Caenorhabditis elegans: one gene and its partner. The protein of the gene in region 2 purifies or fractionates together with the protein of the main gene of each other region. This does not show direct contact. Each region holds a gene or a part of one and is shown on either strand. Other genes may lie near its edges.

Region 1 (5,817 bases), on a different chromosome or scaffold from region 2:
AAATTGTAGAAACTCTTAAGATTTTGGCAAAAGAGCGTGGTTTATTCCTTCACGTGGTGTCAGGTTGTCCGGTTTGATCTTCAAAAAAGCGGGAATTTGTTGCAAAATCAGTGGAGAACTCAGCGTCCTAAATCCCGCATTTTTTGTAGATCTACACAGTAGATCAAACCGAAATTGGGGGCACGTGTCTGCGCTATCATCTTTTTGGCTTGAATAATTTGAATTTGGCTTATTCATGTCCACGACCCCCTGCAAGTTGACCTATAAGATTCCCGCAATTTTTGGAGGTCAAAAATTGAGGGGTTCACCTATAGTACTGTAGGATAACGGTACATAACATGTTGTATCTCATTTCTACATGTACACGTGATGCCAGACGTCCCATCACGGTTTGATCTACAAAAAATGCCGGAATTTTCGCCCAAAAAATATGTGACGTCAGCACGTTCTTAACCATGCAAAATCAGTTCCCGCATTTTTTGTAGATCAACGTAGATCAAACCGAAATAATCCACTCTGACACCACATGCATATATGCAAAAAAATTTTTTTTTTTTTTTTTTTCAATTCCTTTATTTCAACACAGATAGACTAAAAAGTTCTATTTCGCCTGCTTCTCAGTCTTCTCAGTCTTCTCATCAGTCTCATCCGATTCCTGCTTCTGATCTCCATTCTTCACCGTCGAGTTGAACTTCTTGAAATACTTGAAAAAGAACAAAAAAACGATGGCGTTGACGATCACTACCATACCGAAACCGAGGTGAATGAACGAGAGACGTGCCCAAGAGTAGATTCTGAAACAATGCATTTCGGTTTGATCTTCAAAAAACGCGGGAATTTTGCGGCCGGAAAAATGTGACGTCACACGCTTTTTGTGGTGCGAAACTACTCGAAAACTGATAAAACCGAGACTCTGCACGGGCTTCTGTGGCTTCCCTCATCTTGTTTTTCCACGTGGTGTCCGGCTGTCCTAATCCGGTTTGATTTACAAAAAATGCGGGAGTTTTTCTTCCAGAAAAATGTGACGTCAGAACACTTTTAACCATGCGAAATCAGTTGAGAAGTCGGTGTCTCTCGTCTCCCGCATTTATCAAAGATCAAACCATAATTGGAGACTTTGACACCACGTGTTTTTCGCGCTCCATTGACAATCGCCTGCTGGACCGAACCGCGACGCTCGTCTCGTACAAGAGGGAAACCAGAGAGCGCCGTTTGAACTCGGCGAGCAATCGCGCTCTAGCGCGCAAAACAAGCGGCAACCCCGGAATTTCAAAACTTTTCGGGTGTTTTCCAGTGGAGCGCGATTGCTCAGCGATTTTTTTGTTGCAAAAACTCACGGAATCTGAATCGATACCTGGCGTACGCAAGTGTCGATAAATATGCGAAAATCACGAGCCGCGACGCGACACGCAACGCAACGCGCCGTAAATCGACTCCGAATTCGGCAAGCTCTTCCATTTCAAAATATGAGGACCTCGCTGCTTGACCTCCAAATTTGCGGTAAACTTACACGAGGCTGACTCTCGCAATTTTCAGAGATCAAACGACGCGGTGTCCTCAGCGGAAGCGGAACATCGGAGTATCGTTTGGCACAAACTCACTCGCTACGTTGTTTAAGTCTCCGAGTATCCTTCAGCGTCTGTGTCCACTCCGTCGAGTTATTCACCGCCGCCGCTCTTTTCGTCCGAATTTTCTGGCACTTTTTCAGCTTCTTCCCCGAATTCTCATCAATCAGCGCTGCTTCCCTCTTCGATTTTTTCGACTTTAAAACTCGCGGTTTCGACTGATCCCCAAACACGATCAACGCACTCTGACTGTTCGCTGGAGCGCAGATGAAGTATACGCTGAAAAAATGGTTGCGATGGAGCGATATTGCATCTCCAAGCCTGCTAACCGAATAAAGTGATTCAAATCGGGTTTGATGGTGGTTCCGGTGTATGACAGCTGATATTTATCACCGTTTTTCATGAAATAGTAGCTTCTCATCCAAAAATTGATCACAAGAAAGTGTTCCGTATTGTTGAATTCAAGGACACGCAGAGCTTGTTCGGCACCCTGAAAAAGAATCGATAAAATCGTTACGAGACACAAATTGAATTTTTCGCGCTCCATTGGCAATCGCCCGTGTACTCCACACGGACAAATACATTCAGTTTTACAACTAAAATCGAGCCGCGACGCGACACGCAACGCGCCGTAAATCTACCCCAGATATGGCCGGGGCCTAGTTCGGCAAAAACTCTTCCATTTCAATTTATGAGGGAAGCCCGAAATCCGTGGGAAATCGCGTCGAGACCCGTAAAAAAAGTCTCACAGTCTCATATCCGTTTGTCAGATTCTTCAATCGATTTCCGAAGCTCATAAGAATTCCTTTTCCTTCGAGATCATTTTCCCTCCACTTTGGCGATTGTCCGTCATCGATAAAAAGAAATTGGCGTGGCGAGTTCACATTTTCCTTCTCCAAAATCGCCTGGTCCTCTTTGATACACGTGTCTGAAAGGGTAAATGTCGTGGCGGGACCCGCAAAAAAATGCACGGGCTTCTGGCCTCGCATTTTCGCGCTCCATTGGCAATCGCCTGCCGGACGGGAGAGTCGTGTACTCCACACGGACAACTACATTTAGTTTTACAACTAAAATCGATCCGCGACGCGACACGTAGCGCGCCGTAAATCTACCCCGGTCGTGGCCGCGCCAAAATGACCTAGTTCGGCGAAAACTCTTCCATTTCAATTTATGGGGGAAACCAGAAGCGCGTGCGCTATTTGAAATCGGTGAGCAATCGCGCTCCAGCGCAAAAAAAAACGGCAAACCCGGAATTTCAGAAATTTTCCGTTATTTTCACTGTTTTTAATGATTTCACAGTCTCCTCGGCGTCGAATTGGGCTGGGGCGCACTTGCACATTGGCACAGCCGGGGGAGGGAGTGAATCTTTTTAGTGTTGAAAAATAAACTTCGTCGTTTTTTAGCGTTGAAACGAATTTTTTCGCAGATTTCGAACTTAACATTTGTTTATTAGCACAAAATGAAATGAAAGACCATTAAAAGAGAAAATTTGGTCAAAAACTGAAGGAGGAGTAGGGATATTAAAAAATCAACGGTAAAAATGGTGTTTCTCTGAAGAAATCATATTTTTCTTGTATATTTCAAGTCACCCACCTTCGCGATCATCTTCTTCATCCTGAAGATAATTATCAAAAGAGGCGGGGCTGTAATTTTGGAATTCTAGCCTATTTTCCGCGTAATTTCTGAATTTCGGAGAAATCCACAAAATGCGCTAGCAAAAACGCGAAACGCGCCAGTAAGCAGTTTTTTGTGCGCTTTCGATGACGAGGAGACTGTGGATTTTCACATAAAAACCATAAAAACGACGAAACAAAAAGTGAAAATGTACAAAAACTTCACTCATATGGGCTACTTATACGGCGGGCTTCTGGCCTTGCATTTTCGGCGCTCCATTGGCAATAACCTGCTGGACAACGCGTGGGAAAGTCGCGTGTACTCCACACGGACAAATACATTTAGTTTTACAATCAAAATCGAGCCGCGAGGCGACACGCGACGCGCCGTAAATCTACCCGCCGACCCAAAATGGCCTAATTCGGCAAACTCTTCCATTTCAAATTAAGAGGGAAGCCAGAGTGCGCCGTTTGAACTCGGTGACCAATCGCGCTCTAGCGCAAAGCAAGCGCCAAACCCGGAATATCGAAAATTTTTAATTATTTTCGCCGTTTTTATTGATTTTCACATAAAAACCGTTAAAAACGACGAAAAAAAAGTGAAAATGAACAAAAACTTCACTCATACGGGCTTCTGGCCTTGCATTTTCGGCGCTCTATTGACAATCGTCTACGCGTGGGAAAGGCGTGGTCCACCTAACCGCGACGCGGCACGCAACGCGCCGTAAATTGACCCCAGCCGTGGCCGCACCAAAATAGCCTAATTCGGCAAACTCTTCCATTTCAAAATAAGAAGGGCGCTTGAACTCAGTGAGCAATCGCGCTCTAGCGCAAAAAAAGCGGCAAACCCGTAAATTTCAAAGTTTTCGCTGTTTTTATTGATTTTTCCTCGCTTTTCGTCTTAAAATCATAGAAAGCGACGCAAAATTTTGGCCTTTTTTTGAAGTTTCGCGCTGGAGCGCGATTGCTTAGCGATATTTTGTTGTAAAAAACTCACGGAATCTGAATCGATACCTCGCGTACGCAAGTGTCGATAAATATGCAAAAACCACCAAAAAGCGCATTACGTTCTCAATTTACAAAAACAAGGACTGAATTCTTCCGAAATTAATTTTTTTTGGAGAGGCAGGGTGGGGGGACAAGTTTTTCACGCTAAAATTTTTTAAAAATATTTTTCAAATTTTTAAAAAGTTCGGAAATGTTTACTTTTTGAATCAAATGGGGGAATTGTTGTCGTTTAAGCGAATACAATAATAATAATAATATAAAATGACGCGATATTTCAGACAGTGAAAGGTTGTAGAGATATACCGGTAAAATGGATTGGTTTAGGCTTGGGCTTAGGCACGTGGTGTCAAGGTGTCATTTTGGATTGATCTACACGTTGATCTACAAAAAATGCGGGAGAAGAGACGCAGACTTTTCAGCAGAGGATTTCGCATGGTTACACGAGTGCGCTGACGTCAGATTTTCCCGGGGGAGGAAAGATTCCCTCATTTTTTGTAGATCACAAACCGCAATGAGACAACCTGACCACCACGTGAAACCAGGGGTGTGCGGCAAAAAATTCGATTTTTCAGAGAAAATTGGAAAATCAGAAAATTTTGGGATTTTGGTTTAGGAAAATCGGAAAATTTTGATTTTTTTGTCAGGGAAAATGGAAAATTTTGAATTTTTTTGACTTTTTTTCATGGAAATTCGAACATTTTTATTTATTTTTTTTAAAGGAAAAATTGAAGGAAAAATTTTTTTTCATTCAAAAACGAAAAATTTCGATTTTTCTGGAAAAAATCGACATTTTTTTATTTTTCTTGAAAAAATTCAAAAATTGAAATAATTGGATTTCTCCAGAAAAATAAATTGAACTTTTGGCTTTTCACTCTAAAAAACCCAAATTTTTCGATTTTTCCGTAATAAAAAATCAATAAATCAAAATTGTTCGAATTTTTCCTTAAAAATTGAAAATTTTTGGCTTTTTCCTGGAAAAAATCAATTTTTTTTTCGGTAAAAAAAAAATCAAAAAATGTCGAAATTTTTCGTTTTTTCCTCAAAAATCAATTTTTTAAAGTTTTTTTAAAGCAAAATTTGAAATTGTTAGGCTTTTTCCTGAAAAATCCAAATTTTTCCAATTTTTCTGAAAACAAATCCAAAAAATTCAAAATTTTTGGATTTTCCGGAAGAAGCCAAAAAAGAAAACATTAAATTTTCGATTTTTCCTGGACAAAATCGAAATTTTACGATTTCTTTTTTGGAAAAAGCCCCAAATTTTTCGAATTTTTCTGAAAATAATCGAGATTTTTTGATTTTTCCGGAATTAAAATCAGAAAAATTGGTTTTTTTTTTCGTTTTTTTAAACACAAATTGTAATTTTTTGGCTTTTTCCTGAAAAAATCCAAATTTTTCGAATTTTTTGTAAAAAATTTAAAAAATATCGAAATTTTTCGAATTTTCCGGAATAAAAATCGAAAAAAAAATTGAATTTTTGGCTTTTCCTCTAAAAAACCCAAATTTTTCGAATTTTTCGATTTTCAACGACACCCTTGGAATTTCAGGAAAAAAAAAGAAAAAAAAAGAGAATAACCGTAGCATTGAACAGCGGAGACGGGAGAGAAGAGTTGTGTGTGGTCAATACATAAATA
Region 2 (4,777 bases):
GCAAGCATCGAACATCTATCTGTTCTAGTGGCTAAAATGACTTCAGCATTGCATCCTGGAACAAGAAATAATGTGCAGCTCACAGGACATTCACTCTTTTATCTTATAACATCTTCTGTTGGAGAGAATGAGTTGTTATTTAGTGTTGCTTCTGATTCATTTTGTAATTCACTCCGATCTTTGGGAGAAGTAAGCGATATTTTAATTTCTTCTTCATCTATTTATTTTCTATTACAGGAGTATGTCAAATTCCGTCCCGAAGAGCAAATGGACGTCATGCAACTGGCATTAGATGGATTTGTACTCTCTGAACCTCTTGTTGAGGTACATCGCATTTCTAATTAGTGGTGTTTTGTTGGGGGAATTAACAAAGCGGAACATAAAATCACCGCACTTTTGATTCATCTAATTATTTTAGGTCTTCACTCCAGAAGTGCTCAATTCGGACGATTTGTGCACAGCGTATAGAAAGCTATCGGACGCTGTGAGAATGCCGGAAAGAAGCAAGATGGCTTTGCAATTGTTAGGTAAGCAATAATTTATTATGATTCTATTTAACAGAAGAACTAAACCCATATTATATTATACATTAATTCCCGTTATGATCCAAAAACCGAAGATGCGTCTTTAGCTCTGACTTCCAAATATTCTCGCTTTTTGATGACATGCGTTGTGCAGATGAGAATTCTGAAGTTCTTTTGAATCGCCAGCAGCCTGAAAGAAACATTTTGTTCTTTCGCTGTAATTATAATTTGTACTCACCGTAAAGCTGCCACTTCCCAATAGGTAATTCCGCCGTTGACAAAGACCATGATGGCTTTTCGAGTACGATTATCTGGTCGACGATCTGCCGCAATATATGTATTCTCTTCGACTAATACTTTATCTTTTCCTGTAAGAAATATGTATTAGTTTCAATTATGAATCAAAAACTAAAACTGCTTACCAATAATTCGTTCATATTCTGCTTGATTCCATCCATGATCTATTGTATCTTCAACGATTTTGCAAAGCAGGGGAGAAATTCTTGCACCGAAAACATAACTCATATCAGAAGGATTTGACATATCCATTGGCTCGTTTCCCTTAACGATTCTGAACTTTCTTGCCAATGTTTCCCATGTCCTGGCACGTTCCGAAATAGTCCGATCGTGTGCGATATGTCGACGGGCGTAAATAACACGGGAATTTCGAAGATTCTGAAGTTCGAACATATGCTCGTATCCGTACTTTTGTAGATACATTTCCACGAATTCGTTGTACGTATCATCAGGAACTCCGTCTAATTTGAGAGATGCAAGTGACATCATCGATAGAACCACATCACGACAGGATCTCATCGGAACTCTTTCAAAAACAAAATCAAAATACTCTTCATGGGTTACGGTTCCGAGTAGCATTTCGTGTTCTAATTTGAACATGGTTCGATAATCTTCCATTTTAACTTTATTCATCATCATTTCGCATGCATTAATGTGCAATTCACAATGCTTGTGATCCTTTTTGAGCGCTCTCAGGTCTTTTTCAACAAAGTTTCTATAATCCGCAACATCATCAATCATCGATGATTTTTCGATACTTTTCTGTATCGATTTCGCTTTGGAATGTAAAAACTCCAGGGCAGCTGTGACGTGCTTGTTTCGAATCGATGCAAAAATGTCCTCACAATTATCCAATTTCACTGTATCTCCTCTATTTTGTTGATGTGCCTCCTTGTCTTCTTCCGGATTAATCTCGATCCAATCAAAATCCAATGGGCCAGTTTGAACTTGTTTCCGTAGATCTACTGGGAAAGCAAGCTTCCCACAATCAATGGTAAAAAATTCATGAAGAAGACCTTCGTAAGATGCTCCGGTCAACAATACAGGAACCGGATCAAGTTGACGATCGAATAGGAATAAATGACTAATTGGTTGATCTGGTCGAGCTCGAAGTTCGTTACTAGAGCACAGTGCATGAACTAGGTTCCATAAATTCTTCGATTCAGATCCCAATCCGTAGACTGTTGGGATTACTCCGTATAAATTTTGAAGTGCTACAAACATGTTGGCAACAGAGAAAAGATCCGGTTGCGCCGATTCCACATGTTGCAATGAAAATAAATCGCTTTCTAACGGCAAAAGGCACATATTCAGGCTAAGTTGAGTTATGTGTCCAATGACTCCAGACGATTCAAAAGCGAGATCGCATTCTTCTAACTGCCTGTTGCACCAGATCACACAAATAGATCGGTTTTCGCTTGACTCTTCCACGTACTCGACAATTTTTCTGGCGTTTTCTACGTTGGGTCTTAGAAAGAAGACTCGCTGATCGATTTCGATGTTCCAAACCTTTGAGAAAAAACAAAAATTACCAAATATAATTGGACTTCACTATTTACCTGTGGTGATTTCTGTAAATCAAAATGCATTATTCGTTTCACTCCGTGTCGTTTCATATCTGATGATGTGGCAATCATATCGAGTGGTCTTAACAGACATTTATCGATAAAAAGCTCTTTTGTTCCTGAAATTATAACATTCACAAAAATGAAAAAAAAACTATTATTTGAATACCTGGTAATGTTTCTAAATAATGTATGAATTCCCTTTGCATAACCATCCGAAGCAAGTGCAAAGTCTCATCGATTTCCAGCTCGGCGGTACCCGGTGCCATGGTTGATTGTTTGAACTTTTCAAATAAATATAGTCATGGAAATAAAATAAAATAAATTGAGTCTTCCTGCGTGGTAATATTATCGTTCTGCATTGAACCGCGAAATGTGATGCATGCAGACACGGCAGCATACTTGACGAGCGAAAAGAGTATATAAGATGAAGAGACGCAGACATCAAAAGTTTTCTTACAGGTCGCCTTGGCATGCAACAAGCTGCCGCTGGCTTACCTCCACATCAATTCGCCGCTCTTTTGCCAATTGCATTTGCAAATCTTGCCAGTCAACCAGATCCTTCGTCTCCACTTCATGCATTGTGTTTACAGGTAAAATAATATAAGAAGACACACAAACATTCTGGTTATTTTCAGCATGTCATTTTCTTTGTGTTTCACCATTTCCCGGATAACATTGTTAATGGACTTGACTTGACTCTGGATGGATGTAACACGAATTCAACTCCTGCTTCACTTTTGGACGCTATTGTTGATAAATTGGATGCAAACGATTACTTGAAGAAGAAAAATTCGTTTGACTTGGGAGCTGCCAAAGCTGATGAATGTGCTAGAATATTGTCTAAGCGATTGGATGAAGCAAGAACAAAACTTCCGAATTTCTATGGGTAAGTGTTTATGATCGTACATTTTATTATTTTTTGGAAAACTCTATTTTTAGAATATGGTCTCGTTACTTGGATTCAGTAACTCGTCTCGCGCAACTGTTCCTTTTTGTGCCTATTCGTGATGGATACGAGCCCAACAAGTCAGTTTCAGTGCTGCAAAGAGAATGTTATGAATATTTCACCCGTGTTGCCGCAGTATTTTCGCCATTGATCGCCCCATACTCTCCAACTCACCCACCTTTCTCGACCTCCCATGAAGCTCAGGCAATGCTCGTTCTCGATCGATTCGTCGACTTTCTATCTGCCCTTCATTTCAATTCAAGTATACCACCTGGAATGCAGAACATTCAGTCATTGGTTTGGCAGTATTATTGTGAAAAACTTTCTATTCTGACACATGGGACTCAACACTATTATGATGTTATTGAACGGCAACTAGTACGACTGAATTGGCAAGCTCTATGGCCATCAAGACTCGCTATAACAGCAATGGAAAATTGTCTGGATACAAGATCACAAGACTGTGCTTCATTTATTTCACAAATGGTTGCTCGTATTCCGTGGAGCAATATTCTTCAAACAATGCACGAGGATAGTAGACCAAGCTACTTGGCTTCTTTATTCGGAGTACTTGTTCGTCTTGCTGCTCGTCCTCGAAATTATGATAAAGTCCGTGCATCGTTGCTGGAGCTTTGCAAATCATTTTCGCTACGATCTGACTGGAATAAAATTTATCCGGAAGATGCTGCCGGAATAGCATCTGCTGTAACAAAATGTTTGCCCTCGGATTCATTATCAAATCCCGTGGAAATGGTATCAGTAATTCAAGTTATATGGAGGAAAATCTGTTGTTTTGTTGTACGTGAGCCATTCTCCGAAGTATCCCTTCAAAAACAGAAGTTGTGGATTCAAACCGAAAGTTCTCTACTTTTGAAAGCGGAGTCCTCACAAATTCCCGCAGCTTACAATTCACTAATTTCGGATGTGAATGCACTAGCCTTGAATCACTGTAAGTATATTTCCAGAAACTCAATTTTTCATTAAATTTTTCTCTACAGCAAATCTACGAGAATTCCGGGTCGTCACTCGCGAACTGACAGCAATGTGGAAGAATATCACAGATGCCAAACTAGGAGGTAAATTAATTTATATATAGACATCTTTATTCAAATTTTTAAATTCAGAAGCTCTTGTATCTATATGGTCGGAATATTTGGCTGCAAATCCAACTTCTCCTCTTGTTCTAACATCTGTCAATACTTTAGTCGATTCATTGAACATTGATCAGTTGACAACTGCATTGAAAGTTATTGAAAAAGTTATATGTGCCTACTTCCTAAGTAAGTGAGATTTTATAATCTCTTAATTTATATTTTTGGTACTTCAGGAACGGACAGTAACTGGGCAGAACTTCTTCATTGGATTCAATTTCCCACAGGAAGCTTGAAATCTATCAAATCATATCTCATGACTGTACCATCATCAGAGAACAAAGTTCAGAT

The links. The genes of interacting proteins can lie anywhere in the genome.
Region 1: the proteins of vps-33.2 (region 2) and Y95B8A.4 fractionate together in Caenorhabditis elegans (co-fractionation; one large-scale study listed by BioGRID). This does not show direct contact.

Annotation. Positions count from the first base shown.
Region 1 is NC_003279.8:905,918-911,734, reverse strand, and holds Y95B8A.4 (Protein EMP46), read right to left. Parts: upstream 4,288-5,817; 5' UTR 4,243-4,287; coding exon 4,176-4,242; intron 2,494-4,175; coding exon 2,315-2,493; intron 2,056-2,314; coding exon 1,895-2,055; intron 1,845-1,894; coding exon 1,602-1,844; intron 795-1,601; coding exon 602-794; 3' UTR 546-601; downstream 1-545.
Region 2 is NC_003280.10:6,599,202-6,603,978, reverse strand, and holds vps-33.2 (Vacuolar protein sorting-associated protein 33B), read right to left. Parts: upstream 2,764-4,777; 5' UTR 2,656-2,763; coding exon 2,556-2,655; intron 2,506-2,555; coding exon 2,381-2,505; intron 2,331-2,380; coding exon 947-2,330; intron 893-946; coding exon 763-892; intron 715-762; coding exon 600-714; 3' UTR 528-599; downstream 1-527. Other genes in the region: epg-5 (Ectopic P granules protein 5), read left to right, coding at 1-189, 238-324, 419-527, 2,849-2,979, 3,025-3,275, 3,329-4,284, 4,334-4,411, 4,460-4,615 and 1 more. UniProt on the Caenorhabditis elegans protein: Plays a role in vesicle-mediated protein trafficking to lysosomal compartments and in membrane docking/fusion reactions of late endosomes/lysosomes.